Linked DNA regions of Caenorhabditis elegans. The protein of the gene in region 1 purifies or fractionates together with the protein of each later gene. This does not show direct contact. Each region holds a gene or a part of one and is shown in the gene's direction. Other genes may lie near its edges. The genes, in order: rcat-1, C25E10.8, F13B12.4 and mel-32.

What was found.
Region 2: the proteins of rcat-1 (region 1) and C25E10.8 fractionate together in Caenorhabditis elegans (co-fractionation; one large-scale study listed by BioGRID). This does not show direct contact.
Region 3: the proteins of rcat-1 (region 1) and F13B12.4 fractionate together in Caenorhabditis elegans (co-fractionation; one large-scale study listed by BioGRID). This does not show direct contact.
Region 4: the proteins of rcat-1 (region 1) and mel-32 fractionate together in Caenorhabditis elegans (co-fractionation; one large-scale study listed by BioGRID). This does not show direct contact.

What each region holds. Positions count from the first base shown.
Region 1 is NC_003282.8:251,343-259,321, reverse strand, and holds rcat-1 (C2H2-type domain-containing protein), read left to right. Parts: upstream 1-3,892; 5' UTR 3,893-3,895; coding exon 3,896-4,150; intron 4,151-4,203; coding exon 4,204-4,433; intron 4,434-4,482; coding exon 4,483-4,693; intron 4,694-4,736; coding exon 4,737-4,907; intron 4,908-4,957; coding exon 4,958-5,178; intron 5,179-5,226; coding exon 5,227-5,428; intron 5,429-5,477; coding exon 5,478-5,627; 3' UTR 5,628-5,703; downstream 5,704-7,979. Other genes in the region: dpy-9 (Nematode cuticle collagen N-terminal domain-containing protein), read left to right, coding at 119-271, 316-616, 663-994, 1,658-1,819; R02D3.8 (Exonuclease domain-containing protein), read left to right, coding at 2,133-2,181, 2,236-2,337, 2,390-2,619, 2,664-2,836, 2,972-3,077, 3,125-3,265; grl-19 (Ground-like domain-containing protein), read left to right, coding at 6,788-6,936, 6,982-7,120, 7,167-7,352; aass-1 (Saccharopine dehydrogenase), read right to left, coding at 7,604-7,839, 7,948-7,979.
Region 2 is NC_003283.11:9,050,326-9,057,345, reverse strand, and holds C25E10.8 (TIL domain-containing protein), read left to right. Parts: upstream 1-3,276; 5' UTR 3,277-3,413; coding exon 3,414-3,416; intron 3,417-3,465; coding exon 3,466-3,517; intron 3,518-3,580; coding exon 3,581-3,651; intron 3,652-3,696; coding exon 3,697-3,984; 3' UTR 3,985-4,084; downstream 4,085-7,020. Other genes in the region: C25E10.10 (TIL domain-containing protein), read left to right, coding at 1,028-1,030, 1,083-1,140, 1,186-1,258, 1,301-1,377, 1,427-1,512, 1,558-1,654, 1,755-1,870; Serine protease inhibitor swm-1, read left to right, coding at 2,514-2,516, 2,564-2,612, 2,673-2,743, 2,794-3,078; spi-3 (TIL domain-containing protein), read left to right, coding at 6,274-6,276, 6,334-6,483, 6,900-7,020.
Region 3 is NC_003282.8:10,442,512-10,450,929, reverse strand, and holds F13B12.4 (Putative pyridoxal-phosphate dependent protein F13B12.4), read left to right. Parts: upstream 1-4,125; 5' UTR 4,126-4,127; coding exon 4,128-4,239; intron 4,240-4,295; coding exon 4,296-4,493; intron 4,494-4,661; coding exon 4,662-4,834; intron 4,835-5,136; coding exon 5,137-5,726; intron 5,727-5,924; coding exon 5,925-6,159; 3' UTR 6,160-6,345; downstream 6,346-8,418. Other genes in the region: cyts-1 (Tryptophan synthase beta chain-like PALP domain-containing protein), read left to right, coding at 1-122; F13B12.7 (Neprosin domain-containing protein), read right to left, coding at 6,346-6,512, 6,556-6,733, 6,777-6,836; F13B12.3 (Ion transport domain-containing protein), read right to left, coding at 7,216-7,338, 7,614-7,899, 7,946-8,017, 8,087-8,169, 8,220-8,296.
Region 4 is NC_003281.10:6,437,230-6,446,209, reverse strand, and holds mel-32 (Serine hydroxymethyltransferase), read left to right. Parts: upstream 1-3,394; coding exon 3,395-3,457; intron 3,458-4,342; coding exon 4,343-4,474; intron 4,475-4,519; coding exon 4,520-4,857; intron 4,858-4,905; coding exon 4,906-5,729; intron 5,730-5,781; coding exon 5,782-5,948; downstream 5,949-8,980. Other genes in the region: let-721 (Electron transfer flavoprotein-ubiquinone oxidoreductase, mitochondrial), read left to right, coding at 1-192, 320-1,109, 1,167-1,333; C05D11.13 (Vicilin-like seed storage protein At2g18540), read left to right, coding at 2,239-2,387, 2,426-3,095; C05D11.1 (uncharacterized protein), read right to left, coding at 6,362-6,557, 6,614-6,771, 6,818-7,377, 7,425-8,112, 8,159-8,980. UniProt on the Caenorhabditis elegans protein: Interconversion of serine and glycine.

The sequences.
Region 1 (7,979 bases):
AGCGCCCTCATTTTTTTCATCCGTTTTTCGATTTTCTCCATTTCATTTGATCAGTTTGTTGAGTACACTCCCTAAAGTTTTCCTTATATTTCTTGTTTTCAATACTTATTATTGCAGAATGGAACCGTCCAACATATGGCGGACGTCTACCATCGTTGGTAGTGTTGTTTCAACATTTGCAGTTCTTACAGTAATCATTGGACTTCCACTGATGCATAATCATGTTCAGAAAGTAACAACTCTGATGTTAACAGAGGTAGAGTTGTGTAAGGTGAGAATATTGATGCTTTGCCAGGAATAAGCCTAGATATTAAGACCGAGTCTCAAGACATCTGGAAACAAATGAAATTCTCTCGCATGGCACCAAACCGTACCAAACGTCAGTCTCCATACGGTAACTATGGAGCTTCAGGGTCAGGATCCTGCTGTGCTTGTACTCAAGGATCACCTGGACCACGTGGACAGCCAGGAGACGACGGAGAACCTGGACGTGACGGTTTCCCGGGCAGAGAAGGTGACAATGGTATAGCTGGAAAGTATCTACCAGCTCCACCACCAGGAACCAACGCATGTCAGAAATGTCCAACTGGAGCTCCAGGACCACCAGGACTTCCAGGTAAATTTGAATTGCATCAGGAAATAAATTTAAAAATTTGATTCAGGACCAAAAGGACCACGTGGACCAGCAGGAATTGAGGGTAAACCAGGGAGACTCGGTGAAGACAATCGTCCAGGACCCCCAGGACCGCCAGGAGTACGTGGAGAACCTGGATCACCGGGAGAGAAGGGACCAACCGGCGATCGTGGAAAAGTATTGAATGGAGCACCACCAGGTCCTACTGGCCCACCTGGAAAGGTCGGTCCACGTGGATTGTCTGGCGGAAAAGGACACGATGGTAAACCAGGACTTGGTGGGCAACCAGGTGTCCGAGGAGCCGTTGGAGCACGTGGAGATGCTGGAAACCCAGGACTTCCAGGACCACAAGGACCAAAGGTATGTTTCCGATATATTTTCGAACATTTTGAAATTAGTCATGACTTATATATGAAAGAATATAGCACGTATGTCTCCTTTGTAGTTTGTAGTCTGGATTTTGAAAAATGTTGTGTCTTTGCCTTTTGAAGGGATATTGGTTTGGAGTTAGTAGAAGGATATGGTCACGGTACCGTAGTAGTACTGTAGGGATACTGTAGGAGTACTGCAGGATTACTGTGGTTTGGGAAAATTCAATTTTCGTCTTTTGAAAGGATATTGGTTTGGAGTTAGGAAGGGGATAAAGTCAGGGTACTGTAAGATTACTGTAGGTGTACCGTAGAGTTATTCGGCAGGAATTTAAATGTTCTTAGAAAACGGCAATTCAAATTTAGTGAGAAAAATTTTGGCGAGAATTCACTATTTCTGAGAAAAAAAATTTTGGCGGGAAGTTCAATTTTTCTAGAATAACTGGAAGCTCCTAGAAATTCTAAAAAAATCTGGAGACTTCAATTACTTTTTTTTTAAGTCCTAGAATATTCTATTAAAAATCAAAACTCATATAACTTTCTTAAAAAATCTGGAAGCTTCTAGAACTTTTGAAACATTTGAAAACTTTTAGATTTAGTATTAATACATTTGTTATTGAACCAATCATGTGTTTAACGGAAACAATAATTTCAGGGAGAACCAGGAAATCCAGGAACGTGTCATCACTGCCAAAACAGAGCACCAGCACCTTCCGAGGCACCAGGAAAAGCTCCACCTCCTCCACAAGACTATACCCGTCCAGCACCAGAGTCGTATCCATCGGCTCCAAATGGGCAATATCTTTGGATCCATTAAATATTTTGCATAATTTTTGACTCATTGTTTCTCTTTTCGTCTTATTTTTCGCCGAATGATTCGAATGTGAGACTTGAAATATCATAAATCTTGTCAGGCAGCTGTGCCGAAAAAATTGTTTTTTAATCTACGAAAATATCGAAATTGTTTCCCGTAAATCGACAAGGGGCTGAGGTTTCTAGACCACACGGCCGTGTACTCCTCTCGGACAATGGATTAATTTTATCTGCTATAATTTTATTTTTCGATTTTCACACGTTTTCCAGTCAAATTTCGTAATATTTCATAATTTTTTATCATTTAAGACTCGAAAATGTCGATAAACTTCACGAGGACACCAAGATTATTACTTGACACAGTAGGTAATTCCATTTTTCTAGTTTTTTTCGAATTTAAATAATTAAAGTTAATTTCAGCCCATTACTCATCATTCTTGGAAAGCACAAAGCTTGTAAAGACTCGGGAAGTGAAGAAACCACCCAGATATCCAAACTTTTCACTGAAAAAAGATACGAAAAGTGGGGAGATTGCTTACTTTTTGGCAAAATAACTTTATTTTAATCTTTTCAGATCAAAAAATGAGCCAGCACTTTGATTATCTTCTAGTATTAGACTTCGAAGCCACGTGTCAAGATAACTGGAAAGGGCCGATGCATCCAGTCCAAGAAATCATCGAATTCCCAGTGGTCCAGCTCTCGACGGCTGATTGGAGTGAAATTCGTCGTTTTCATCAATACGTTAAGCCGACGGAATGTCCAAGGCTCACATCTTTCTGCACATCTTTAACAGGAATTATTCAGGTTTTTAATGCAAAAATTTCGAGGAAAAAATGCTAAAATTCCAGGAAATGGTTGACGAAAAACCGACGCTTCCACAAGTTTTATCGGAATTTGATAGCTGGCTGAAAGAGGATTCTCGACTGGAAAAGGGCAAATTTGCATTCGTCACTTGTGGAGATTGGGATCTGAAAGTCGCGCTGCCGAATGAGGCGAAATTTAAGAATATTGGAATTCCAGAGTAAATTTTTTAGAGTAAAACTGACAATTTGAGGCTGAAAATTCGTACAATTTGACTCTAAAAATCTGAAATTTCATTAAAAAACAATCATTTTTGTCCCACGAACCGCACAAATCCAAACAAATTGTCCTTCAGGTACTTCAATCAATGGATCAACGTGAAAAAGGCTTCTGCGGAGCACACAAATCATTTCGCGAAAGGAATAGCCCAGCTTCTGGCCATCTACAAGCTGCAACATCAGGTTTTCTACTGAAATTCTGAAATCTCAGCAAAATTCTAATTTTCCAGGGTCGCCACCACAGTGGAATTGATGACGTGGCAAATATCTGCGAAATTGTCCGGTGTTTGGGCATGAACGGGCACAACTATCAAATCACAGGCTCCAAAGACACAATGACGCGGAGGGTGTTCAGAGATGCGAGGAAATAATTTTTGTCGATTTTTCAGCAATATGTATTAATACGAAATATTGACTTTTCCGCCATTTTTCCGTTCAGAACAATAAATCTTTGCAAAAAATATAGCGAGAATATCGAATTGCAAGTACAGTTTCACGTATACGTTTCTAGAAATTAGATTTTTTTGGAAGTTTTAATCTGTCAATTCTCTCCGCCATGAGGAAGTCTACACACTGAAGAAGTTTCGCCACTTTCTTCCCTTTTAAATTGATTTTTTAACCGCTTGAAAATATTCATAAAAAGTTTTCTCTCTCGGTCCAATCTGAAAAAAAATTGCAACTTCAGTTGTATTTAATAAAGCTTTATAAGACACAAAAAATATTATTTCAAACATCGCGCTTAAAGTTCTCTGCAATGGAGCGGACTTGCAGACACGCAACGCGAACACGCGACGCGTCGAAGTGACAGGATTTACGAGCGTAAATCCTACCAATCGTTTTAATTTTCTATTTTCCTCTGATTTTTGTCAATTTTCCATAAACTTTTAGAATTTAACGCAAAAAAATTCACAAAAGTGAATGCCAATTTTTCTGGAACTGATAATCCTTGAAAACACGTATTTTTCACTTCCGGATATAGAAATGTTTGAAAATTGCAGGAAATGACCACAAATCCTATCGAACTCGAGTCCTGCATTATTGATCAGATACGATGCCCAGAATGCGCCCTAACATGTCTACAAAAGAATATCTATCGTCACATGACACAGATTCATAATTGGACAACTGAAGATTGTCAGGAACTGATTGCCGCTATAAAATCTGAAAAAAAGAGCCGAGCATCTAGCACATCGTTTGTTTGCTGCCACTGTAGGATGATATTTCGAAGTGTCAAGCATCTGGTTCAGCATAAAAAGGTAATACAACCCTATTCTTCTGGAAAACTAAATATAAAAATTGGATCTTGCAGATGTGCACTGAACAACCGCAACATGACAACGAGCATCTTGATGTTTATATAGATGAAATGATTGTTGAAGGAGAAGAAGAAGTTGTTGGAATCAATGAATATGATATCAATGAAACTAAAGAATCTACACAAAAACCATCCACATCATCTGGAGATAGTTTCGAGATGAATATTCCGCCACATCGACAAGCTTCTCGTCCAATCCAGCCACATCATTTAACGCAGGAATGGTTGGAATTAGAAAAAATAAAGGTTTCTGTCAAAAACTATGATTTTCAGCCAAATTGCCACCATTATTGAAAAACCTTCAAAATTCTCGTTAATGCAACTACCAGGAAAATATCGTGGATGTAATTTAAAATGTCCCGAATGTTCGAGTACATCAGAGTCGTTGGATGAATTTTTACTGCATTGCCGTCAAGAACACATGTCCCATGATCAGAAGTTTAATTTAGAACGAGAGTTTTTCCAATCAAGAGACCAGTTTAAGGTTTTTAAATATTCTCGATAAAATGACAAAAATCTAATTTTAGGAATGGTTCGATCAGAGACAGGAGGACACATGTACATCGTTGACAAAACGTACAGGACATGCTGGAGAAACACTTTATAGGTGTCATCGTGTCGGAAAGTATCAAAGTGTCGCAAAATCCAGGAAATCGAATCCCAGGAAGATTGACCAGACTTGTACAGCATATTTGAAAGTAAAACATTTTTTAAAAAATTTGTTTTAAAATTTTGAAAAATATTTCAGGTCACAACAGAAGAGGACGGTTCAACTTGGGCAACTGGATGCTTTACTCATATCGGACATGATCTTGATCACAAACTTCTATGGCTCACCGAATCTCAGGAAAAATATGTTCGTGAGCTAATTGACTTGGGATGGACTTCTGATCAGATCTTCTTCTTTATTCGGAATGAGTACAAGGACTACGAGTGTAAATTAAAATATATCTCAAAGAATGATATTAGGTGAGGGTAATCATCCGAAACAGTAGGCAAATATAATGTTTTTTGCAGAAATATCACAGTTCGGTACAATAGAGAACGGGAGAAGCTTGGTTTTTTAACGGACACTGCAAAATCTTCTGCGATTCCGATTAGTTTGAAAGAGCGGCGAGCCGTTGCTGCAGATAGTACGAAAGAACCGAGAGAAGAAGATGATGATGAGGTTAAGGCGAAAATTCCAAGGATGCAAAGCAAACCTGATAACATTGAAAAGGTTTACAGACGGTTAAATTGTTCTGAAAACTCAAAAATTGAATTTTCAGGCAACTACTTCAGAAAATAATTCTGCAAAACATCGCGAACAAGTTGTGGATTCAGAAACTGCGGAAGAAGATGAATATATCAACGTAGTTGATGTGGATACGATGCCACCAAACGATGCTGGAAAAATCACAATTGGCTTAAATTTTTAGTCGATTTAATACATTTTTGCGATATTAAATATGTTGTTCTTGTTATTTATTCATATCATGAAAGTTTATTAGATAATTCAAATCGAAAAAGAGTTATATCTCAAATGCCTGACAATAAACGCTGTATGCTGATGGCTGAAAAAAATTTGGGCAAAAATAAAAAGTTGTCTGGTTTTGTTGAAAACGGGTAATTCATGTATGCTGAATTCAGAAAATCTAGGTTTAACACATCAAAAACTATTCAAAAGTGGCAAAAATGCACAATTTTGAAACTCCTCTAAAATGGGCAATTTTGTAGTTAGAGGACTCAAAATTGATCTCCCAATACTAAAAAGTTTCCCTTTTTCAAATTCTAATGGTTCTGTACAATTTCAAAAAAAAAAATTTCTTGCCCAAAAAAAGGGCAGTCATATATTATTTGAATATTGTCCAAATTTGTTGAAAACGGGTAATTCATTTATGCAGCGTTCAGAAAATCTAGGTTAAACCTATCAAAACCATTAAAAACTGGCAAAAATTGGGCAATTTATTGTAAAAAATCACTCTATTGAAACTCCTCTAACCGGCGGCAGCCGATGTCGAAAAATACAAAACACCTGTCGAAAAATGTAGAAAAATATATTTTGTATTTTTCAATATCACATGAATAACCCCATTACTTTTTATGTAACTGATATGTCATGTTAGCAGACCTGTAGCATTGTATAATCGGATATTTTAAAAGGTTGACATTACATTTTGCTCCTTACAAAATATGGAATAAAATATGTGTTGTTAGCATAATTTTGAATGTTCAAATCTGATTTTATAAGCGCAAACTACTGTCCGCATGATTATGGGTCACACTGTATCTGGAAAATGTGCAAATATTATAAAACAATTGTTAATTTATCTTAAAAATATGCGGTTATAATGCGTGTGTGTTACTCGATGTGAACCAGTATCCAGTATCTTAACATGGAATAATCGCAAGTGTCAATTGACGGCTTATGCCAGTTTTATCGTATGTTCCTTTTTCCACAAATCTTTATCTTGTAGCAAATTGTGATAAGAAACTATTAGGCGATCAAGTAACTCAAACAAGAAAAACGAGTATAACACCAGGCTATGAGACATATATAATCTTTTTGAATCCAGCAATAGAACATCAAAAGTACCCAATGTTTCTCAAGTTACTTTTATTTTTATCTATATGCCACGTTGCATTCGCATTTTTCTTTCCAAGAGTCACACCTAATGATGGATGTGGTTGTGGATGTGGAGGAGGTGGAGGTGGAGGAGGTTGTTGTGCACCACCACCACCACCGCCGTAAGTTTCAATATATTAAATTAAACTTAAGTACAAGATTTTCAGAGTGTGTGGCGGTTGTGGCTGCGGAGGCCGTAAAAAGAGAGAAATCGGACATGTCAAAGGACACTTGGCACATAGAGATAATGATCAGGAATGGAATAATCAATGCAACAGCTTAGAGTTTTCGGATGTAATAGTAAAGGTAGTTTTGAAACATAAACAGTTAATTGCAACTACCACTTTTTCAGCATCTCCGAACGAAATCATTGTCGACATCTCGAGATTTCATTTACAAAGAACTTGACACAGCATTCCCAGACTCAATGTTCACTGTATTTTGTCTCCAAAACTCTACTGTTTCATATCAAGCAGATGCGAAGAGATACTGTATGGAGAAGACAGCTGACAGGAGTTGTTACGTTTTTGAATTTTAATTCAGTTGATTCATATGCCCCAATAATAATGTATATTCTAATATATGAAGTCAAAAATTTTATTCGGTCGACTTGATGGAAGCACCCGCGATGGGGTTTGGTGAAAAGTGAATATATTCACTTTTCATATATGAGAGAGGAAATATTCGATAAAACATTAAAAAAACGGGTGAAACTAGTCAGTACTCAGTACTATACTACAAAAATTGAAATAAATCGAAATAACATGGTAATAGAATATGGATAACAAGCTACATTGGGGTAATTGTGTGTGTTGGCACAATTCCAAAGTCACGAAGACGCTTCAATGCTGGACGGTAGACTTCCTTCAGAATTGGTCGTTGAATTCCTGCTCTTTGAATTTCATTGTTTAGAACCATGTGTGAGACGATGGCAGTTGTGTAACCAACAGTACGAGCCATAGCGGAGAAACCATTTGGATTGCCGTATTGAACCAAACTGATACGATGACGTTCAGAGTTTCCACCTGAAAAAAGATTCAATAGGATACACGAAAAAAAAATTTAATTTTGATTTAATGAAAAATTAATTAATGCGTATTAATCCTGACAAGTTTTCGAAATATATGTCTCACCTGGCAACTGAGCACCAATATCATGATTCAAC
Region 2 (7,020 bases), on another chromosome or scaffold:
TTTGCTAAAAAAATCGACACTGTGATGGAATTTTGTGAATTTCATACAGTGTAATAAATCAATTTTCAAATGTCAGAATAACCAAACGATTTCTAACAAACAATGCCAAAGTTTTTATATATAAGCTTGAGGGAATTGTCAAGAAGTTTGTAGACTTGCCAAAACTTGTACTTGAATAATCAAAAAGTTATTATCTGAAAGCTTCTTTTAAAAAATTTTCGACGGAGCAAACTGTTTTGAGAGCAAACTAACCACATAAACGTGTTTAAAATTATCAATTTTCAATAGGAGACTTCTCATAAATGAATTAGATTTAGGGGTATTGGAATTATTGGAACTGGAAAGTACCGTGTTTTATCTATTAGAATCACACCTATTGTTCGACTTTGGCAGCTGATCAGCGTATCTCAATTGTCGTTTGTTCTAAACAAAGATTGTTAGCTGACAAAATATTTATTGTTTGTTTCTTTTACTATTTTTTTCACAATTTGGAAACAACGTTAAAAATTTTTGAACGGCTGTACACAGTTTTTGAGTATTTTTGCGAGTTATTTTTATGAAGTTTCTGGCTTTTGGAGCTATTTTGAATATATTCAAAGCCCATCCCAGCAGTTAATCTTCTGTTCCAACAGTCTTGAGTTTTTGCTTGTATATAATAAAAATACTCAAATGGGCAACTTTCATAATAAGACTTCTCAAAAAAATTGCATAATTTTTGAGATTTCTCATTACCAAAATTTTGCCTAGGGCGCATTTTGAGTCTATTCAAGCAAAAACCGAAAACAGTTACTTCTTTGTTCTTCTCAGGCGTACTTTCGTAGAAAGTAATTTTGTAAATAACATATTTTTAAACTTAAAAAAACAGCACTCAAGAAATATTCCGGTCGGCTGAACTCTCTCCGGTCTCACCAAGTCATTAATCTTTTGACTCATCCTCGGTCTCACGCCTGTCAATTTTATTTCAATGATTGCTTCCTTCTCATAACTTCCCCACTCCGAAAGTTTCTTCAGAAATTCTTTCATCAAAATGGTGAGTGGTTTTTTCTTCATATCTTACAACAAATGAAAGTGTGTTTTTTCAGAATTTTCAATTATTTATTTTCTTTGCTCTTCTTGCTTTTGCTAGATCTGGAGTTCTTAGTGAGTACCAAGGTTTTATTTAAAAATCAAATGACTTATTTTCAGAAAACACAGAAAACATGCCCATTTCTCACACAGACGCACTCTGTGGTTCTATCAAATGTCCTGATAATTATAGGTTTTAATATTTCCAATTATAAATTTTAAAATATTTTTTCAGATGCGAACTGCCAGTCAGTGACTTGGAATGTGGTTCTGAAGACGATTGTTCAGTTGATCCAAAGTGCGTGCCAATCCGTAAGTGTAGTGAAACCAAAAATATCCAGTGGTTCTTGGAAACTTCCAGCAATCCGCAAACCGGAATGTGAGGGCGATGAAGAGCTCAAGGCGTGTGGCTCAGCGTGTGAACCGACATGTGATAACGAGAATCCAGTAAATCAACGTTGAGATTATGTATGATCATAAATTGTTTCTCAGGAATGTGATTTGGTGTGTATGACAAACGTCTGCCAGTGTAAGAAAGGACTCGTCAGAGACTCGGCAACTGGAAAATGTGTGGAGAAAAATAAATGCAGTAAGCTTCAAAATTTATTACTAGACTTTAACCAATTTAACCATCAGTGATTATTCGCTGAAAACCTGCACATAATACTAGTCATAAATTTTTCATTCAGGCAAATGCACTCTTGAATGCTCTGAGAACGAAAAATGTGAACTTGTGGAGCTGACTTGTGAGGAGAAACCATGCCAAATTGTGGACGTATGTGTTGCACAACATACCACTGAATAATATTTTCGATGATTAAAAAAAAAGTTGTTTTTCTCATATTTTAATATTGATGTTTTCATGCTAATGTTTTCAGAAAATTTAAAAATAACAATATTCGAATTTTAACATAATATTTGTATTCCTTTTCAATAGCCAAAAAACTTATGAACTATTCCGTGTTGCAATACAATGAATACAAAAAGTCAGTGTTAACCAAACAATGTTAAGTTGGTAATTATGGATGAAACACATTCGAAATACTCTCCAGTGAGCCAAGCCAAAACTATTTGCACCAAGCGATACGTTTTAAATTGATATCTTCTAGTGAATTGATTCATTAAAATCATTGGTCGGAATGAAATTTCGTAAGGTTCTCGATTTAATGTGTTTCTGATTTTTTCTGAATTTTCGAATACAAATTCTTCGAGATTTTTAAACCTTTGTTGTGAGCCCAATTTACAAAATAAATACGTGACCGGTGAAAGATAAATTTCTCTCCAAAAGATTGAGAAGACCTATAATATCTCCCATTCGATCTTATCATGTTTCTCGTATCATCCCTTCCGAAAAAAAGGGCGGTTCTGCCGTTTTTTAGTGTTCCGGCACAATAAATAGAGCCGTTAAAAAGCAAAACATCGGTTGGTTGCCCTTCGTTATTGTGAAAATGGTGAGTTTTTGAGTTTTTTTTCTAATATAAAAATTATACACTTACAGAGGATACTTGTCATAATCACATGCATCGTTGCTGTTGCTACCGCCACAAGTAAGTAAATATATGTGATTTGGTACTTGAACGGTTACCAGATCATAAATATTTTTTTAGAAACATGTGAAGCCAATGAGGAGCTGGTATCGTGCCATAATACATGTGAACCACAATGTGGATATACCCCTGTAACAATTAACTTAATGTGTCTCCCATTACTGAAAGTTTCAAAATTTAGAAAGCTTGCACGGAGCAATGTATCATGAACACATGTGACTGTAAAGACGGATTTGTTCGTAATTCTCTTGGAAAATGCGTCGAAGTATCTGAATGCACCAAGGAAACTACAAAATGCCCAGAAAATGAGACATTCTTTGGCTGTGGAACAGCTTGTGAAGCAACTTGTGAGAAACCAAATCCAACAGTTTGCACTAAACAATGTATCGTCAATGTCTGCCAATGCTCCAAAGGTTTCGTTCGTCATGGACTCAGATGCATTGATAAGAAAGATTGTCCAAAATAATTTGTTTTTGAGTAAACATTTCCAAGTTCAATAAACCATCAAATATTGGAAAAAATTCAAAAAGAAGTGTGATGAAGGAAACTGGAGTTGTGTGCTATTATTGATAACACAATTGTTACATCAGTATTATTTTTCCTGGCATGAAAAACTAAAAAAAACTCTGTTTGATCTTTTGGATTTATTGGTCATCGTTTTTTTTCAATGTCTATGTCTCTGGCAAACAAAAGGGCGGTTTTGATAGACTAGAGTCCTCTGCGTGATTTAGTGTTCTCGAACAATAAATAGAGTCATTTCAAAAGAAAACATCAGACTGCTGCATTACTTTTCTTTCTGTGATGGTTCGTTCTTTTTTTCATTAGAGCAATGCAAAAACTAATGAGTTTTTAGAGAACTTTTGTCATAATTGCCTGTTTTATTGCTGCTGCGACAGCTGCCAATAGTAAGTTTATTTTTAAATGATTATTGTTAAATATTTCTGGAAAATAAACATTTTACTTTTCAGAGACATGTGGAGCCAACGAGGAAATGGTTGCATGCCATGATCACTGTGAGACACAATGCGGATACACTCCAGTAATCTATAATTTTCCATGTTCTCCTATAATATTTAATTTTCAGAAAGTGTGTCTATCTGCTCAATGTATTGAAAACGCATGCGACTGCAAGAAAGGATTTGTGCGTAATTCACTTGGAAAATGTGTCGATATTTCCACCTGTACCAAGGAAACTAGCAAATGTCCGGAAAATGAGACATTCTTCCGATGCGGAACCGCTTGTGAGCCAACTTGTGAAAAACCAGGACCAAGACCATGTACCAGACAATGCATTGTAAATGTTTGCCAGTGTTCCAGTGGTTTTGTCCGAAACGGTTACAGATGCACCGAACTCAAGGAGTGCCCAAAGTGAACATTTTGTATTCACATTTGTGATAATAAATCGTTGAATTTCATATTCTGAGAAAAACCAACAAATTGCCAAATAGAATAACATTCGGTTACCATGAACTGGAAAAATGGAAACGAATTTATATTTCTTTTTTGGAACAAAACACAAACAATGCCGTGATCGTGATATCATTCCGATGGAAAACTGTGTCCGATCGGAGTACACAAAGTTTTCGTTTTTGGGTACAGATTACCTCACTAGAGTATTGAATTTCATTTGGTCTTATAGGTTCGATGCTACACACAAAACTTTTTTTAGGATTGGCAATTGTTGTTTCATAAACATTCCAAAAGCGACAAAAACAGACAGTTTAAATGTTGGCATCATATATTTTTTTGGAAAAAAAATTCGTTAAAAAATGCGTTAAAAAATTTAACCGTGTGGCAGAGCTGAGCTCATCCCCTACTTGGTTTCTTAATATAGGAACATACACACAAAAAACAAATAAGAAACTTAAGCAAGGAAATTATTCAAAAAAAGATCAATCATTCTTTTGTAATGTCTAGGTTAGAAAATGTCGTAGACGCTTAAAACTTTTTAATTCAAAAATCACGATTCTTTTACAGCAGCGTTTTTTCCAGGCACATTCTGGAAAATGAAAGACTACGCTATTTTACGTGAGCATTTGCAATTGTTTTCTACCTCGTAAACATAAAAATAATCACATTCATAAATACCAATAGGTACGCGTCAGAAAGGTTCTGCCAATTTCTGCACAATATCATTTGTCCCAGAAAAAATTTGGCAAAAGTTATAGGAAATTAATTTTTCCCTTTACTTTATATTTTTGAAACTTTTGACTTTCGACGCCTTTGTTAGTTTTTCTATTTAAACACATGACGTTTTCATGCCGTCATAGTATTTCGCTCATTATTTATAAACACGTTAATTATTGAAATACACATCTGACAATGCTCGAGTCTACAATTTTGAACCTCCGAGTTTGTATTTTGTATCAAATGCATATACTAAGAAATAAGTATGACAAAACATAGTGCGTAACTGAATGTCTCAATATTATAGTTCACTACAATATTACTTCAAAAATGAAACGAATTCAAATATAATATATACGTTTAGGTCTATACTATTTGAAATGCCAAAAAAACGTTTAACTTGACCTTTTCAATGACGCTTCAAATTTCACACCTACCGATGCGCAAAAGGAAATAGATTTTCGATGATGCAAAAAAGTGAGAGGCTCAAATTTTTTTTCGAGACCGCCGTCATTTTTGAATTGAACTATGAAGTTAAATAACTGCGTCTGTTTAAGCCCGTTAACAAAATGTATATTTTTTGTTTCGGGACTTTTGAGTTATACCTTTCTGCCAAAAAAATCGAATCAAAACTTTGATTTTAAGAATGCACTTACTTCGAAGTTAGAAAATTTCATGAGCAGATTTATTCGATATTCTGCGTTACCAAAAAAGTATTACGTACTTTCCATAATTATACATAAAATTTACGTCAATAAGCTTTTTGCACATCTAAATTATTGAGACCCGTTTTGTCTTCCGAACTTGTATCACTTTTCACTGAATTCCGGTACGATTTTACTAAATTACTTTTCAAGGAATCCATTTTATGCTGACATTTAGCAGATCATATATGATTTTTGAACGCAATTCACCTGTCTAGTTTCTAGGTATTTTTTAAACTAAAGTTTTCCCGTTTGACTGGTATATAAGCTCAGTTTTGGAAACGGTTTTATCAATAAAGTTATTTTTACATTTTTTTCAATAAAAAAAGTTGTTCTGTACTGAAAGCTTAACATCACATATTCAGTATTCAGATAATGCAATTTTATTCTAAGCCATACCTTTTATCATTTCTTTACAGTACTTCTGTTCTTAGAATCAAATTCAGTGTTTTCAAAAATACCTTTGGCAAAAGGGAAATAGAATTTAGTTTCTTCTTTAGCCAGTATTGGTGTCTTAATAAATAAATGTTCATTTTCATTATAACTTTGTGACTTTTCAAACAAACATAATGAATGTGTGAAGTTATGAGATGTGGCTGAAACTCATTCTAAATTTCCAATTCTTGAATATCTTTTCCCTCTCGTTTCAAATGAAAACCTTGTCATTATCATTTCATTTCTGGCTGATTTCCATTTATAATTATATATTAAAGAACGTCTTTTTCACTCTTCCGGTAACTACTTGAGACCGCCCAAATATTCGCTCAGAGTTCTCCGTCGTTCACTTTTCAGTCTGTTCATTGTCCAACACGGAAAATCTGCAAATAACAATGGTAAGCCTGCATTACATAGTTAAAGCATGTGTTATTCATCCGAGTATTACTTTTCAGAAGACTTTCTTATTTCTCAGCTTTTACTTAAGCATGGGATCAGCCACACAATGGATCACACCAGGAGCCCCGTTTTTACCAGAATGTGGGAAAAACCAAAAACGAGTGGCTTGTGGTTATGATTGTGAACCACAATGCGGATTTGATCCAGTAAGTTATCTTTTCAATTCTAAAATAGCAGGAACGTTTTGGTTCTGCTTTTTTTCATTTGAGGTATTACTGTCAAAGGTTAGGAATAAAACTGTTTTGCCGTTCCTTTTTTCAGATAGACACTATTATAGATATTATAAAAATTTTGCTTTTATATTGAAAACTTTATGAAGTCATTCAGAAGCGTTTTCTATATATATATACCAACTGAGAATGATGAATGAGAAGCGGCCGTTAAACCACACTATTCTCAATATTGGGTACAGTTTGAAGAAAAGATTATCTTGGAAACGGACAATAACAGTTTTTGAATAATTTTTTTGTAGAATCCAAAATTTTCAAACATCAGACAGTCGAAACGAAAAAATCAGAAAGTCAAACCAAACTAAAACCACGAGAGGAACATTTATTTTCAGACTGTATGCAGTTTGGAGTGTAAACCGAACGCTTGTGTTTGTAAGGATGGCTACGTGAGGAACACAAAAAATGATTGTGTCCGTCGACTTGAATGCACTGCAGAAACATCCAGATGTCCAG
Region 3 (8,418 bases), about 10 Mb from region 1:
TTGATACACATTTAAATTATGTTGGCGGTGTGACTGCAATGGAATGTTGGAAGAAGTTAATACAAGAATCTATCGATACGGGATCCAATTTCTATTTGAATGGACTCACAATGTGTTCATGATGCCTTAATTATGTTGTTTTTTTAAGTTTGGCAATTTATCTAAATTTTTTTGAACAATGAATAATATTAAGTGTTTAATATTTACTCGTGTTGAACTAAATATTATAAATATAAATACCCAAATTTAAACTGATGATTCTCCATGAAAACCTTTACTGAAGTGAGAATCTACGTGCGTCTCCACCAAACAGTGCACCAAAGATTCTTTGAAATGACATCATAATTCATCGAAAGAACGGGTCTACAAGCAAGAAACGGTCGATATGCAAATGTACGTGTCTATTGGCACGATCATGTTGCCAGGTCAACCAGATAACGGAAAATCTATAAAAGCAGAATGGGGATAAGGATCCAGAATTCATATAAAGTTTCGCTTTTTATGTTTATTCCATATTTGTTAGAGTCTTTAGGATTTTGGTAAAATGTAAAATTACTACCATGGAGTTTTTCAGTAACTAGACAACTGTAGGGTGAAGCTTTAGATTGTCTCATGCCTATCTGCCTATGTACCTACGTACTATCTATTTTCTGAAAATTGGTGGTATTAAAATGTTACCTCATGCTATATGCTCATGCTATTAATTAAAAATAGTAAGAATGAAGCAGGCATGGTATTTTGGGAAAACTAATAGTAAGAAAATTAATTAAATAGTTCTTTCAAAATTATTAGATTTTCTTATTTATTTTTCCGAAAATATTTTACTTTTTTAAAGATCAAATCGACTATAGATTTTTGATTTCTCAACTTTAATACCTTCCAATTTTCTAATTTAATATCAACCTAGTATTTATTGAAAGCGATAAGATCAAGGGTTCACACCGTTTTATTCAATTTATCTTCTTCAGATATCTCTTCATAAGCTTAAACCCGTTCTTCTCATCTATATCCATTCTCTTTTCATACAATTATTAGTAGTTTCCATCCTCTTCTTTTATCCTAATCATAATTATTTGGCACATCAGGTACAAATCTATTGTTTTTCTTAATCTTCCTCCCACTTTTATGTTTGTCTAGTTTCCATGACTATCCTTTGAACCCAAAATTTTTCGTAAGATTAGGATTAAAAGTGCTCGGTGAAACCTATTTTCGATTTCAAAAAAAAAAAAAGAAGCAAAATGATGTCAATTCTTAATCTATCTACAGTAGGAAATGCGCGCGTTTCTTGATTTAATTTAAATTTCCGATAAGAAGCAAAAATCTGGAAAAGTGTGATGGAACTTTAGGCACCACATTTTTTGGTAATGAGCATCATGCTGCAAAAAAATGATTCGATCAAATCTAAAGGTCACATTTCAGAGCATTCATCGAGATTTGGTGGAACCGATTTAGATGAATGTGACAAATTTCTAGTCCGCAATTACAATTTGAACAGTTAGTGAACCTTGGTCAAAACTGGTGCAAGATTTGATAGCTGCGTCTAAGTTTGGTTCAAGTTTGATAAAATTTTTGCTAATCTCGAAATAAATAAGCTTGGCACGTAAAGTTGGGTGAGAGAAAGTTATAGACAAACAACCGGCTCCTAAATTAGATTTTTGGAATTAATAGATTGCATGAATATTTTTGGTACCTTTTTTGTTCAATTTTTTTCACAGGAATTAAACATTAAATGCATACATTGTTAAAAATATATAGATATGCGCATCACTAGTTTTCAAAATTGATTTTTTTTGTTCCAGGCCCTAAAAAATCAACTTCAACTGACATCACTCTTCTTAATAATTGAAAAAACGCCCGCGCATCATGGTTTATTTTAAACTTAAAGACAAATGAGTATTAGCAAAAGTGGCTTAAAAATGTTTGAAGGTTGTTTGAAACAAGATATAAATCTATTAATCGATGCAAGTTTCTTTAAGGGCAGAGCTAAATGAACAGTTCCGTTTTTTTCGCAGATAGCTTTCTCGGTAGATACAAATATGATTGTACATCTTCAAAGCGTCCCATAACTTAAACGTAATGGTAAATTATTTTTAATTTAAATGTGAAACAGTGAATAATTTTCCTAAATATGTTCATTTACAAAAATTAAAAATGACCGAATATCATAATGAAACAGTTTAGATTTTTTAAAAATTTCAATCAAAGTTTTTTTTGGTTGGTTTCTTTCGAGGCTATAGCAATTTTGGAGCTTTTTCAATGTTCAAACCAGAGATGTGCGGCAAAAAATATTTGTCCGCATAGTTCGGGAGATGCATTTTGCCAAAAACCCAGCAGTTGTCTTTTTTCAGCAACTTATGGATTTCCTTTTTTGGATATACAAATTTTCACTTTTTAAAAATAATAAATTAAACTCATTTTGTGAGTGTTTGTATAAATAGTTTTCGACAAATTGTAATTTTCGGGTGAAAAATCTGAACAAAATTGAGTTAAATTTTTAAAAACTCTTAAATTTCTAGAAAGTAATGTAGTCAAAATTTAAAACCTTTACTCTAGATTGAAAACGAACAGATGTTTTTCTGCAATCAAATTAATTAATTTGCAACATTTAAACCTCTTGACGTACTGAAATTGTTCTTTTTTGTTTATTTCCTTGTTCTCTTACAATTGGCAAATCTTTTGTTTGAAAGCAGTAACACATCATACTTTTCCAGACTAATCTCTTCAATAATTTCTATGAGTTTAAAATGAATTAAGACAAAGGTGCAAGAAAGATATGACATCATTTGACCTACATGCTTCATTTTAATTTGTATACCGCTTCAAAATGATATCATTTCAGAAGATGATGCGATTTGAAACAAAATTTGAGAAGCCGTAGTGTATGTAGTAGTTTTAATTAAATCAAATCATCTTAGTATAAACTGCTTCCGGTTTCCGGAATCTAAATTCAAATCAAAATTTTTTTGACTTGACATTTTTAGAAAAATGGCAAGAAACTGATCTAGAGACAACCAGACATCAGTGATCAGCTCCGATTCTTGGTTTACTTGGACTGAACAAAATACGTAAAACAAAGAAATTAACGAACGAATCTTTATTGTGCTTTAAAAGCATTAGTTGCAAGGAAAAGAACACTTGGAGGGTAGCTCAGGCTACTGTAACCATGATTTTATATTTTTGTTTTTTAGGTTTTCTGGGGAACTTTCAAATCTCCACAGGAAGATCCAAATCTGGGTGTTATTCGTTTATTCAGTGTCTTCAAAGATTTTTATCGTTTTGCAAATAACCTTCATATCCAAATTTATGCAACAATTTTGGGACTGGCGGATTTATTTCTAAACAATTATGGGAAATTCAATATAATAAAAATGTTCGAGCCTTATATATATTAAAAGTGCGGAAAGTTTGTATAAAAGTGGTGCCGAATTGCCGAGAAGGTTTTGAAACTCTCTAGCGTTTAAATTTCGACTGAAACTTAAAAATGGATTATCGTGTATTTTGGCAGTAGGCACGGGGCAGGCATATATCGCCTTGCACGCGGACAGACAGTCTCATGAAAAAGTTATCTTTCAGTTCTTTTTACCAACCTTAAATTTACTATATATTATTTTAGAAAATATCCTTTTACGCGCAATTTTTTGAATAGAAAGCTTCCTATGACATTTAGCAGAGTTTAAGAAAAATTTAATTTCTACATTTCAAAAATTAGAGAATTTTGTATTGTCCAGGTATTATTTTTTGTTTTGAAGCACTATTTCAAAATGAGTATCATTTCAAGTCATATAAGAAATGAGTTTAATTTTGATCAGCTTATCATTGAAACCGGAACTCTTGCAAAAAGAAAACTTAGATTCATAAATAGTCGCATCACTTATTTTTTTAATGTTTACTTTTCATTTCAAGTTTTTTATAAAGTTCACTTTCTAAACACTCCATGAACCATGTATACTATAATAGTTGTTTGACTCCGGAAACTGTGCTCTTTCATTAATTTGTGGGCGTGGTCATGCTCTTCATTGCGTTCGAAATTTCAATCTTCCTACTGTACTTGTGGGCGTGACCCCGGACTTATAAAAGAAAATTCCAATTGATACATCAATCACAAATTTAATTCATCGTTTTCAGCCATGAAACTACTTCTTCTGGCTCTGTTTCTGAGCATATCCGCAAGTTGCCTTGCAGAAGATATAACAAAAATTTCTGAAAGTCGAATTCCGAATGAGGATGCTGTACCTGATTGTTAGTTTTTTTTTTCTCAAGGTCTTTTTAATTCAATAAACATAAAATATTTTTAGATGAAGCAAAATGGAGGCTCGGAGCAATTCAAAAATTATGGAATGAACGACGAAAGATGGGACACACACCAATGACAAAATTCAGTCCCCCTGGTTTCCCGAACGCCGACATTTTCTTCAAAAATGAAACTGCCACAGCTACGAGAACGTTGAAGCACAGATTTGCATGGGCTCTTCTTCTTTGGGCTATTACAGAAGGTTAGTATGTTATTTAATTGGTGAAGTACAGTGTATCTGCGAAAACTTATATTCTGCAGGTTTTTTACTGCTAAGCTATGAGTATGAGAGCTATGAGTAAGCTAGTCCAGAAACGTTAAATAAATAACATTTCTCAAAAAAAATTTCTGCAAATTTTAAAATTTCCAGGAAAAGTGACTTCAAAAACATCCGCTGTCTACGACTCAACATCTGGTAATACTGGGTCTGCTGAAGCCTACATGTGTACTTTAGTCAATGTCCCATACTATGCTGTCGTTGCTGATAATTTGGAAAAGGAGAAAGTCAAGCAAATTGAGAGTTTCGGAGGAAAAATTATCAAGGTACTTCTTCTACTTACACAGAGTCACATACAGTATTTTTGGTTTAATTTTCATTTAATATTGACCAATTTTTTGAGTTAGCCAAAGTTTTTCCAGTTTTTAAGAACTCTAACCCCAAAACTTTCTCATTCAACTCAACGCCAATTTCTTATAAAATTTCTTTATAGAGAAACAACTTTTATTGTGTGAAATTTCGCGTTAAAATTTTTAAAGATGAGGGAAGCGTTGTTAAGAAAGTTGGAAAATGTCGAGAAAGAAGCAGAAAAATAAAAAAAATTATTGTAAGTTTTGCTTTGTTTCAGGTTCCTGTGGCTCTTCGCAATGCAAAAGCTAAGGAATTCGCCGACAAAAACCACGGATTCTACATGAATCAATTTGGAAACGCTGAAAAAGCTGAAGAATTCCATGAAAGTGGAGACTTTTATTTTGAGTCCACAAATGTCTATCATGAAATTATTGTTCAACTCAAAAAGGACAAAGAGCAAATTGTCAAAATCCCTGACTACTTTGTTCATTCAGCAGGAACCGGTGGAACTATTTCGTCAGTTGGCAGATATGTCGCTAGATATGGAGCACCTACAAAAGTCGTACTCTCCGATTCTCAATACTCTTTATTCTACGATTATGTAATTGGACATAAATTCACAAATCAATCTGGTGCAGGTATTTGGACACCTCCAGGGATTGCTGGAATTGGTTACGGATATGATATTGAACCAGTGTGGTACGGAGAAACAACAAGTTTAACAAGAAATGTAATCCATGAAGCCATGAAAATGCCTGATATTGCATCAGTAGCTACAATGAGAATTCTCGATGAAAAAGGTTATAATGTGGGACCGTCAACATCACTCAACTTCCTTGTTTCTCTTTACAAAGCCTATCAGAACAAGTAAGTAATTCAAACTGACATCATTGCAAACTAATCCGTCTAGAGTATTTATTCGTTGTCTTTTGACGACTTAAGCGTTTACTAGTACATTTAAATTTTTGCGTTAAAAAATATGTTTTAATAGTTTAGTTTACGCAAGCGTATCAATATACCTTGCGTATACCTTGGCTATCAAATCTTGATGAACACAATTTTCAGAGCCAGAAAATCTGCTATCAAGCATCGTCTTACGATTGTTACACTGGCTTGTGACCCAGGAGATTTCTACCGTAGTACGTACCTTAACAACGAATGGGTCGAGAAAAGTTTCAAGAAGTTTGGAGGTGTTATGGGAATGGAATGTTGGAAAAAGCTGATTCAAGAATCAATTGATACGGGTTCTGATTTCTATTCGAAAGGTCTCACTATGTGTCCAGGAGCTTTTAAAGTTTAACTGTTTTGCATTTCTGTGTTTTTGTGTCTCTCCGTATTGTACAGGTTCGTAATTGATCAATTTTAAATTAGATTGTTTTTTTCGAAAATAGAACTCATAGTTCCAGTGATTAAGTCTATTCCCGTGCATGAGTTTTGTGCTTGCTTTGATCTGTATTCAAGTTTAATTGAATAAACTATTTATTATTTAATTATCTGAAAACGCAAAAGTTATAATATTTGCACATAAGGCAAATATGAAAATATACACAACAAAAATTGACCAGTCGACGCCGCGAACAACAGGTTGATCAAGAAAACCATATTGAAAATCAATTGAATCTTTTTTGCGACCATCCGGTGTGTAGATGATTCCTGAAAACAGAAATTGTGATTTTTCAAAGTTCTAAAAACTGACCTGTCAATGATCTTTTCGAACAAATGAACATTTTCTTGCAAACTTCACAATATGTTGGACATTGCACAATATGTGTTGAATTATTGTCAAGAAAAGCCAACCCATCGTAAAGAGGACAGCTGACAACTTTATTTCCGATCGAAAATTGAAATATTTCAGTTTTGTTGCAAACTTCGTTCTGAAATGCGGACTTTACTTACATGGCGAAAATTTTAACTCACTTGAATACGGTACATTCTAGTTGTCTTGGAAACAAATTTAGGAATATCTCCCGTTCTCATTAAGGAAGTCAATATGTTAACTTCATTCGGATCTTTCTCGAATAGTTTGATTGCTATCTGAGTGCAAATTACATTAGTATGCAAAAATGTTTTACAATAGATAATTTGCAATGAAAAATGCTGCCGACAATTGTAATTGTTTTTTGAAGTTTTAGCAATGAAAACGCCCGCCCGCCTTGTGTCCAGTTTCAATCACCTTACAAAACTTACTTTTAGCGATTCCACATATTCTATTTGAAAACTAAAACAACACAACACGAAAAGATAGTTTTTAATATACATCTTTATTTGAAATAATGTTCCATAAACTTTCAAGTTGTGCAATATTATTCCACGTTTTGAATGTTTCGTTTAAAATAATAAATTCCACGCGAAATTGCTAGAACGTTGTTTGAGATCGTATTCTTCTGAACCGGTTCGTGTTTTCAATTTCAGACATAATCTCCTCAAATCTAGTTCGAATGAGGTCCGTCTCGAGGCGTTTCCTTTTACGGTCAGCTTCCTGAAAATTGTAGAAATTTCAAATGTTAGGTACAGTAGGGTAATTAAAAACTACGTTCCCACGAGTTAGATGCTCAGCCAATGCTCGGTGAATTGGCTCCTACTCAAAAACCCTATTAACTTTCAAAAACCGCTCTTCCATAGAAGTTTTACGAAAATTTATTTATCTATCTACTGATATAATCAAAATTAAAATTGAACGTCTCACACTAGAGTGTACATAGCTCACCGTGTGTCAGTTAACCAATAAAGACAAAAATATTGCAGGAAACTCACCAAAATGCTCATTTGCTCTCTGACTAATTCCACTGACTTTTTCTCATCTTCTGTAGGACCATCCCATCGATTCGGGTTAGATATTAATCCATTCATTACTGCTTCATATTTTCGATTTTTCCTCCTTTCTTTTGCATATACTTTCCCTTCGAAAATGTGTAAAATTTTCATAAAGTAATTGGGTATAACTCCAATGATTGGAATTTTTGATAGAAAAAAGCAAAAAGTTTTGAGAATGTAAAAGAGCAACGAGAGTGGTGCAGGAATCCATAATTTTTCTTCATACCTGGAAATAATGTGTCTTGCTTTTTTTCTTCCTCAGTTGAACTCACTCAATCAACCGACTATACAGTTTATATTTCCAGTAAATATGTGAAACTTTGTCAATATCTTCATACTTTTTCCTGGAAATTTCAACTTTTATCATTGGGTTTTCTATTCTTGGAGTTTTCCATTACGCCCTGATAACATACGATAAGAGTGCGGTAACCAAATTCACAAGGAGTACACTTGAGACCAACATGTAACAGAATAAGAATACAGGTATCATACTTGTCTGGAAATTATATTTTCATGAAAGTTTTGGATCTTAAGAAAATTGCGTACTTTGAACCAGCATTGTACCGAAGAATCAGTAATGACGTCCCAGTTCAGAGGTGCTGACGAGCATTTACTGACAGTCCCTAAATAAGACTTTTGATTAGAAGCGTGCTATCAATTATACAACAGACTCAAAAGTTACTACAAATCTTTGAGGTATTCCTGTATTGCGCCTACTTTCAAAATAAAAGTGAACATTTTTTCA
Region 4 (8,980 bases), on another chromosome or scaffold:
GGTATGGAATTCCACGCGAAATGCACAATTTTCGCTGAAGGATGTAGAGGACATTTGAGCAAGCAAGTTCTCGATAAATTTGATTTGAGAACACATGCAATGACTTATGGAATTGGACTCAAAGAACTTTGGGAAATTGATCCAGCAAAGCATAGACCTGGTTATGTTGAGCATACTATGGGATGGCCATTGGTAAGTTTCTGAAGATCTAAAAAATTAAGAAAAATTGAAAAATCTAGTAAAATGTGAGCTTTTTTTTTGAGTGTTTCAGATTAAAAGATATATTCTAGAATTTAATCTCTAAAAAATGATTTTTCAGAATGTTGATCAATACGGAGGATCCTTCTTGTACCATATCGAGGATCAAGGACAACCACTTGTTTCCGTTGGTTTCGTTGTTGCTCTTGATTACGCGAATCCAAATCTCAATCCATACAAAGAATTCCAAAAATACAAAACTCATCCATCGATTTCTAAACAATTGGAAGGAGGAAAACGAATTGGGTACGGAGCACGAGCTCTCAATGAAGGAGGATTCCAAAGTATCCCGAAGCTTCATTTCCCCGGAGGATGTCTTGTTGGATGCTCAGCTGGTTTCTTGAATGTCGCTAAACTGAAGGGAACTCATAATGCAATGAAAAGTGGAATGGTGGCTGCTGAATCAATTTTCGAGGATATTCAACAAAAGGGAGAGGATGTGCAAACGATTGATCCAGCTACATATGACAAGAATATTCGTGATACTTATGTTGTTAAAGAGCTCAAAGCAACCAGAAATATTCGTCCATCATTCAATACTTCATTGGGATACATTGGAGGACTGATCTATTCTGGAATATTCTATGTTTTCGGTCGAGGAATTGAACCATGGACTCTTGGACACGGAAAGAAGGATAATGAGAAGCTCATTCCAGTGAAGGATGCAAAAGAAATCGATTACCCAAAACCAGATGGAAAGCTAACTTTTGATCTTCTTACATCTGTATCTCTTACTGGAACCAACCATACAGAAGATCAACCTGCTCATTTGACATTGAAAAATGATCAAGTTCCACTTGATGTGAATTTGGCAGTATATGGTGGCCCGGAGGCTAGATTCTGTCCAGCTGGTGAGATTTTAATACAAATTTGACTTTTAAAAACACATAAATAACTTTTTTTTCCAGGAGTCTATGAATTCGTCCCATCCGAAGCTGATGAATCAAAGAAGCGTCTCCAAATCAATGCTCAAAATTGCATTCACTGCAAGACATGCGACATCAAGGATCCTCAACAAAACATTAACTGGGTTACACCAGAAGGAGGTGGTGGCCCAAAATACGAGGGAATGTGAATCCTTTAGCTTCTCGTTTATGTTTGTGTATAATTTTTGTACTTATTTATTCGCCACTATCGACTCGTAGATTATGTATTTCTGTTCTTCAACGGTTTCTCTCAATTTTCTCTCATTTTCGTGTTCCCCATCTTTTGTAATGCCATTACATTTTTATCCAAACCAAATGAATAGATTTCTGATTAGTGTGTACTTGAACGGAAAAGCTTCAATATTGCCATAATTGTGGTACATATATACATTCATCCCACTACAGTATCCTTTTCTGAAAAGATTGCAAAGTGTTGTATAGAAGAAGAGACGCAGATAATCAAACAAGACGTCTGCGCTCGTGTATGTTTGTCTCTGGACAGACATACACACAGAAACACCGACAATGAAGATATGAAGACACACAGACACACAGAAAGCCGTCATCGATTCTCCTGTTTTCTTTGAGCCTTATTTATATTTTTCTTATTACTCCGACGCGTAATTTTGAGATTTTTGCGCCAAAAACGGTACCCAGTCTCGACATGATATTTTTTTTAATGTGATAATTTCAAAACGGTGCACACCTTTGGAGAGTACTTTAATTACAAACTTTTGTAGTTGCGGAATGTTCATCGATTTTCCATCGTATTCCGATGAAAAACATCCTTAACTATTGAAAACTCAAAAAAAAACACGAATTTTAACAGAACGTAAGAAAAGTATGAAAAATCATGAACGGTTCCACACCAACTAGATTAAAAAATTACAGTACTCCTTGAAGGCGCACAAGTTTTTCTCATTTAACTAAAACATGTCGTGTCGAGAATCGGCACCGTATTCTTGGCGCAGGAGTCGCAAAACCTCTGTCTGTGTATTTAGTAATGTAGATTTTCAAGTTTTCTGAAAAATTAATGTATATTTGTAAGTTCAGAATGAGTAGAAAAGATTGCAAAAATATTGTCGAAGACGAAGAAGAAGATGAGAAGAGTAATGGGAATAAATCTGAAAGTCCACAAAATGCTGGCCTAGAAGAAACAATTCAGAATTTTATAGCAACATTTTTACCTGGTTCAAGTGATGAGTAAGAGTAGTAAATAGCATATTAAAATTTTTTTTAAGTTTCAGACCTCATATTACGGATATTCCAAGTTCATCCGAACCTCAAGAAGGATCTAGAGAATGCAGACTCTCCAAAGAAGCACATCGGAAACGTCTGAGAAGAGCTCGTGAAACATCAGAGGAGACTCACACACGTCTTGCCAAGGCTGCAGACTATAAAAGGAAGAGATGCTCAGAAGAGACAGAAGAAGAATATAGAGAACGATTGAAAAGGCAAGCTGAAAGAAAAAAAATGGAAAGAATGCAAGAGTCGGAAGATCAGGCAAATAATCGAAGAATAAAGGCTGCAGAGCATCGACGCCAGTATCTGCAAAGGGAGTCATTCGAAAAAGCTCAGGAAAGAAGGAATAAGGATGCGGAACGGAGAAGGAAGAGTCTCCTGGCTGAAACTCCAGAAGAAGCTGAATTGCGTAGAGCCAAGAATGCTCAGAGACGTCGGGATGCTATTAAGAATGAAACACCAGAGGAAGCTGAAAATCGGCGACAGCGTGATGCAGCAAGAAGACGGCAATATTTGCAGACGGAGACTTCAGAGCAAAAATCAGCTAGGAAAATCCAAGATGCTGCACGAAAACGTCAAAATCGAATTTTGAAGCAAGCAGGGCAAAGTGAAGAATCACTTGCAGTCATCACGGGATCATTGAGCGATGGAACTCTTTCGGGTCTATAAAAATTAATTGAAAATTTTTTTAATAAATAAGTAGTTTGTTGTTTGACCTTTTGCTTTTAAAACCGATAAAATCGTATTAATTTTTTGAATCAACGGTCCGCTCATTTCCACCTATCAGTCTTTAAATTCTGTTGAATCGCAATAAAAACGGCAAGTTTCATCTCTTGTTTGCAACAAAACAGAGAAACTGATAAGACTGATAACGATCAGTGGTCTGATCGATAGTCGATTTCTGTTTTAACACATTTATTCTGAAGTTCTAGAATTTTATTTGTTATTTTAATATTTTCAGGCACAAAATGTTTGCAAGGATAGTGAGCAGAAGAGCAGCAACTGGATTATTTGCCGGAGCCAGCTCCCAGGTTTGTGTGTGCACTTTCGCGTGGGATCAGTTGTAAAATACGCATGGCGCGAATATTTGAATTTGTAAAAATTTTGCCCGCTCAAAGTTGCAATTTGCTTTTCTCTCCCCATTTTCATTCCCAAAACGGCACCGTCCATGGTTCACTCGTTGTTTCTGATCAGAAAGTGATCTTCATCATAATATCTTGCCATTTTCCGCCTTTCACTCAGTTATCTCGGGCTTGTCTCCGACTTGTCCAGCAATAGAAATATCGTTGACATTGACCCACAGGCGCCGCTTTTGTTGCTTTGATAACAACTTGGTAACTGATAAACTCTATTCACTTCTTTATTTTTATTTTTAATGATCATCTCTGTGATGTTGCATTGATAATCGTAGTTCTCTATTTTCTCCGCGTATATTTTTACCATAAGCTGTGAAAATGTCTTGCTCCGTTGTTTCTTTTTGCAGTTCTGAATAACACATGTACACGCTGCAGTATCGTTTGCACTTGTTTTAAATGGTTTCTTTGCATAGTTTTCTGTAGCAATGTTTTGTGTTTGCATTTGAAAGTTATCTGCATTATATTTTTGTTATTAGAGACCACTTTTTTGTTTTTATTACTAAGTTAGTGTACACTTGTTAAAACCACGCTCGAATACCTCTTTAATTACAATTTCTAATGAGTAACTTTTGACTTATCAGTTTTGATCTACGATCCGGGATGCGCCCAATCTCGAAAACTTCCCGGTTCAGATATCATCATAGCCTACCGCGAATCCAGTTTTATTCTTATTTTCTCCACACTTTCCCATGCATATACGTGTTGCCAACGCGTCAGCTTTTGTGTTGAATATGTTCCCGATTTTTTCGCTTCTTTGCTTAATTTAATTTGGTTTTACAGTGTAAAATGGCTGATCGTCAAGTGCACACACCATTGGCTAAAGTTCAGCGCCACAAGTACACCAACAACGAGAACATTTTGGTGGACCATGTTGAGAAAGTTGATCCAGAAGTTTTCGATATCATGAAAAATGTAAGACTTAATGTTTCTCAAATCTTAGTCATTTGTTTTTTTCAGGAGAAGAAGCGGCAGCGTCGTGGACTTGAGCTCATCGCTTCCGAGAACTTCACAAGCAAGGCTGTTATGGATGCTCTTGGCTCGGCAATGTGCAACAAATACAGTGAAGGATACCCTGGAGCTCGGTATTACGGAGGAAATGAGTTCATCGATCAGATGGAGCTCCTTTGCCAGAAGAGAGCTCTTGAGGTATTCGGACTTGATCCAGCCAAGTGGGGAGTCAATGTGCAGCCATTGTCCGGATCACCAGCCAATTTCGCAGTCTACACTGCCATCGTTGGATCCAATGGACGCATTATGGGCCTCGATCTTCCAGATGGAGGTCATTTGACTCATGGGTAAGGTTATCTAGATTAGACTCGAATGAATTATACATTTAATTTCAGATTCTTCACCCCAGCTCGCAAAGTCTCTGCGACTTCTGAATTCTTCCAGTCTCTTCCATACAAGGTTGATCCAACAACTGGATTGATCGACTATGACAAGCTTGAGCAGAATGCAATGCTTTTCCGTCCAAAAGCCATCATTGCCGGAGTTTCCTGCTACGCTCGTCATCTCGATTATGAACGTTTCCGTAAGATTGCCACAAAGGCTGGAGCCTATTTGATGTCTGATATGGCTCACATCTCCGGACTTGTTGCCGCTGGACTTATCCCATCACCATTCGAGTATTCTGATGTTGTAACCACAACGACGCACAAGTCGCTCAGAGGACCACGTGGAGCTTTGATCTTCTACAGAAAGGGTGTCCGATCTACCAACGCAAAGGGAGTTGACACTTTGTATGATTTGGAGGAGAAGATCAACTCGGCCGTGTTCCCAGGACTTCAAGGTGGACCACACAATCACACTATTGCTGGAATTGCCGTTGCTTTGAGACAATGCCTTTCTGAAGATTTTGTTCAGTACGGAGAGCAAGTGTTGAAGAATGCCAAAACCTTGGCCGAGAGAATGAAGAAGCATGGATATGCTTTGGCAACCGGAGGAACCGACAATCATTTGTTGCTTGTTGACTTGCGCCCAATCGGAGTTGAAGGAGCTCGTGCTGAGCATGTGCTTGATCTCGCTCATATTGCTTGCAACAAGAATACGTGCCCAGGAGACGTTTCTGCTTTGAGACCAGGAGGCATTCGTCTCGGAACTCCAGCTCTCACCTCCCGTGGATTCCAGGAGCAAGATTTCGAGAAAGTCGGAGATTTCATTCATGAGGGTATGTTTTTTCAACTGTAATCTTCAACATTAATCTAAAATATTGATTTCAGGTGTTCAAATCGCAAAGAAGTACAATGCTGAGGCTGGAAAGACATTGAAAGACTTCAAATCATTCACTGAGACCAATGAACCATTCAAGAAAGACGTCGCTGATCTCGCCAAACGTGTTGAGGAGTTCTCCACGAAGTTCGAGATTCCAGGAAACGAAACTTTCTAATTTTAATCATCATCGTCATTATCAACATTGCATTTGTATTTATAAAAACATTCCCGCCATTTTATCACTTTCATGTTTGAATTTTAAACAGGAGAAATAAATATTGATCTTTTCAAATTTAATTGTTTTTTTATATTTAGAAAGCAATTGAGATTATCTACGGCATTTGGCATAAGCCGTATGCTGAATTTTCTGAATGCCGCACACATCTGGACCCTTCTACAGTTCTCTCACAGTGATGTTTGGGGTAGCTGTTTAATGCAACGTTCACCGACTTTTTTCCATTTGTGTTTAATTCAAATCAGACCAGAACTTTATTTAACAAAACAAGCTACCGAAAGAAATAAATAAAACCAGAGCCAACAAACGGGGAAATGATGGAAGAATAATAAGAATATAAAAGAACAGGCAAACTAGCATGCAAACTGCAAGTCCGAAATCTTGATCTTGCTACTTCCTGGGAATGCCTTCTTCATCTCATTGAGTTTTGATGGATGAACAGCAATTGAACGGACAAAGCACTTCTCATCGAAAAGACGAGCCAGTGGTGGTCCGCCGATCTTAACCATCTCTTCCGATGTCAGATTCCAGATACGGCGACACAGATCACTGAAATCGCGGAAGTTGATACTTTCCTAGTCTTAGAATGTTTTCAGTAAACTCACATATTGAATGGATGGGGAGTTTGACGGAAATTATTGAGAATGCTGATCTTTGCAGCTCCACTCACAGTTCCTTCACGCTTCATCATCTCGAACACAGTTGATCTCTTTGCTCCCTCAAATTCTGCTTTGGAGATTTCACCGCTCTCGACGATTTTGCGCTGAAATTTAAAGTTATTTTAACGAAACTTATTTTTTTCTACTTACAATAATATCTCTGGTTCTCTCATAAGCCACTGCTGGCTGAGCGCATCTGTAGAGACTCAAAGTGATTTGCTTCCGATCGGGTTTCACAAATACGTTAGCTCCATAGGCAAGTCCATCTCCACGAATTGCACGCCACAATGGACCTTCACACTGAGAGAGATATTGTCCAAAGATCATTGCTGGAATCAACTCCTCTGAATTCCAGTTAGCATCAAGGAAGCTTGTTTGATAGATGAATGAAGACTCGGATCCACCAACTCCGATGAGAAGTTCCTTTCCGAGCTCAAGTGATACGTTTTCACCAGCTTCAGCTGAGAATTGATGTCCAGGTCCGAATCTTGGATCAGCTTGTACCCAGGTCCAAAGATCGGAACTCAACATTTTCGGATCAATTGAATCAACGTCAGCAACAAAATGAGCATTCACTCCGTTTGAGAAAAGAGCACTACGAACTTGTTCAAGCTTTTCAAGGACTGCTTCGGGATTCTTCATCACATCCTTCGATATTTTTTCATGAAGCTTCTCCAACACAAGTTCATCGAAGAGAATGCAATTGGTATCTGTAAAATATGAATGCACTTAAATTTTTAGTATAGAAATAACATACTCTTTCCATAAACCATTGAAGCTACTGCAGTTGATGCCACAGTACATCCATCTCTCTTCCGATCACGAGCTTCTCCAGCCAACTTTTGAGCACATTGATGAATTCTTGAAGGATCGAAGACGACTCCCTGAGTGAAAATTTGAGCCCATTTCGCAAGCAATGGATACTTGTCAGCTCCAACTTTGATACGAAGATTCACAAATCGATCATAAAGACCGGAGACTCCCACTTGAATAGAGTGATCAATGAGATCTTTCGTGAAATGTTTGGCAACATCATCAGCAGATGTCAAGACTCCATCGATCATGGCAGGAGATTCAAAAAGCAAATCTGTGTAGAGGAACAAGTAACTACGATCTTCAATTGACAGATTTGAAGAATCTAGCAGGAAGAAGATTTCCACGAATTTAGTTGGACAGTTGTGAAGATTCGCGTGGAATGGGAATTGAGCTAAGAAAGTTGATTGTTGAGGAGTAAGAGAAGGTGAGTTTGAAGTCAGGGATTGAACTGGGAAACGATCAAAAGCTTCAAGATCTTTGACGATCAATTGATCCAAAAGTTCAGCACTTGGATGATTGGCAGTGTTCTCAAGAATGGCAGCTTCCAGACTCTTTCCCGCTTCTTCGAGTCCTTTTTTGCCGAGCTTCTCACATTGGGCTGCTATTCTCTTCTCTTCTTCTTCAGCGATCTGAAATTATTTTATTATTTTTCCGGTTTCTATTTTCCATTATTACCTTATCAACTAGTTCTTCATTTGGAACTCCGATTACAGTAGCACTTGGAGCAGTGAAATATTTGTTGACCAACTGAACCCAATATGAAGCTGGCTCTGATTTCAATTTCTTGAGAAAATCAATTTCATTTGTTCTTTTCTTGAATAGCTCTTCATCCTCATTGTCGAACAATTGATGTCCAATAATGTGTGACATAATATCCTTCGGAGCATTTGTCTCAAGCTTCACAAGTTCATTGAGAATAGTTTGGTCGATAAGATATCCCATTCGTTCCATATCGAAATTAGCTTCTTCCAAATGCTCACGGACCGTCTTATCGAAAAACTTCGGAGCACATTCGTCAAGTTTCTCAACAGGAACTCCGGCAAAGTTCAAACGCAGGTCACAACGAACTCCTTCTGCAATATGGAATGAAACGGAGCTTGCAAGTGGATCCTCGAGAAGGATGAAATCTTTTTGAAGTGGAGCAACAGAAGTGTTCGACAGGTAGTCAAAGAGCACATGAAGTGATGAGTGGGTTTCTAAGTCTGACGGACTATGAGCAAACCAGGCAACCTCTACGGCTCCACGGGAAGCATCATCAGTTGGACATTCAACTCGGTGCACAGTCGATTCTTTGATATCAGAAAGAGCAAATGAGAAAGGCTTTGGGAAATGATCCGGTACAGTTGACATATGCTCATTTTCCACGTTGTTCATAATCTCTAGAACCTGATCATGATCAACCATTCCACATACAGTAACCACCATATTTGACAAATGGTAGAACTTTTTGTGATAATCACGAACTTTCTCCAGTGTGCATGATTCACGAAGATTCTT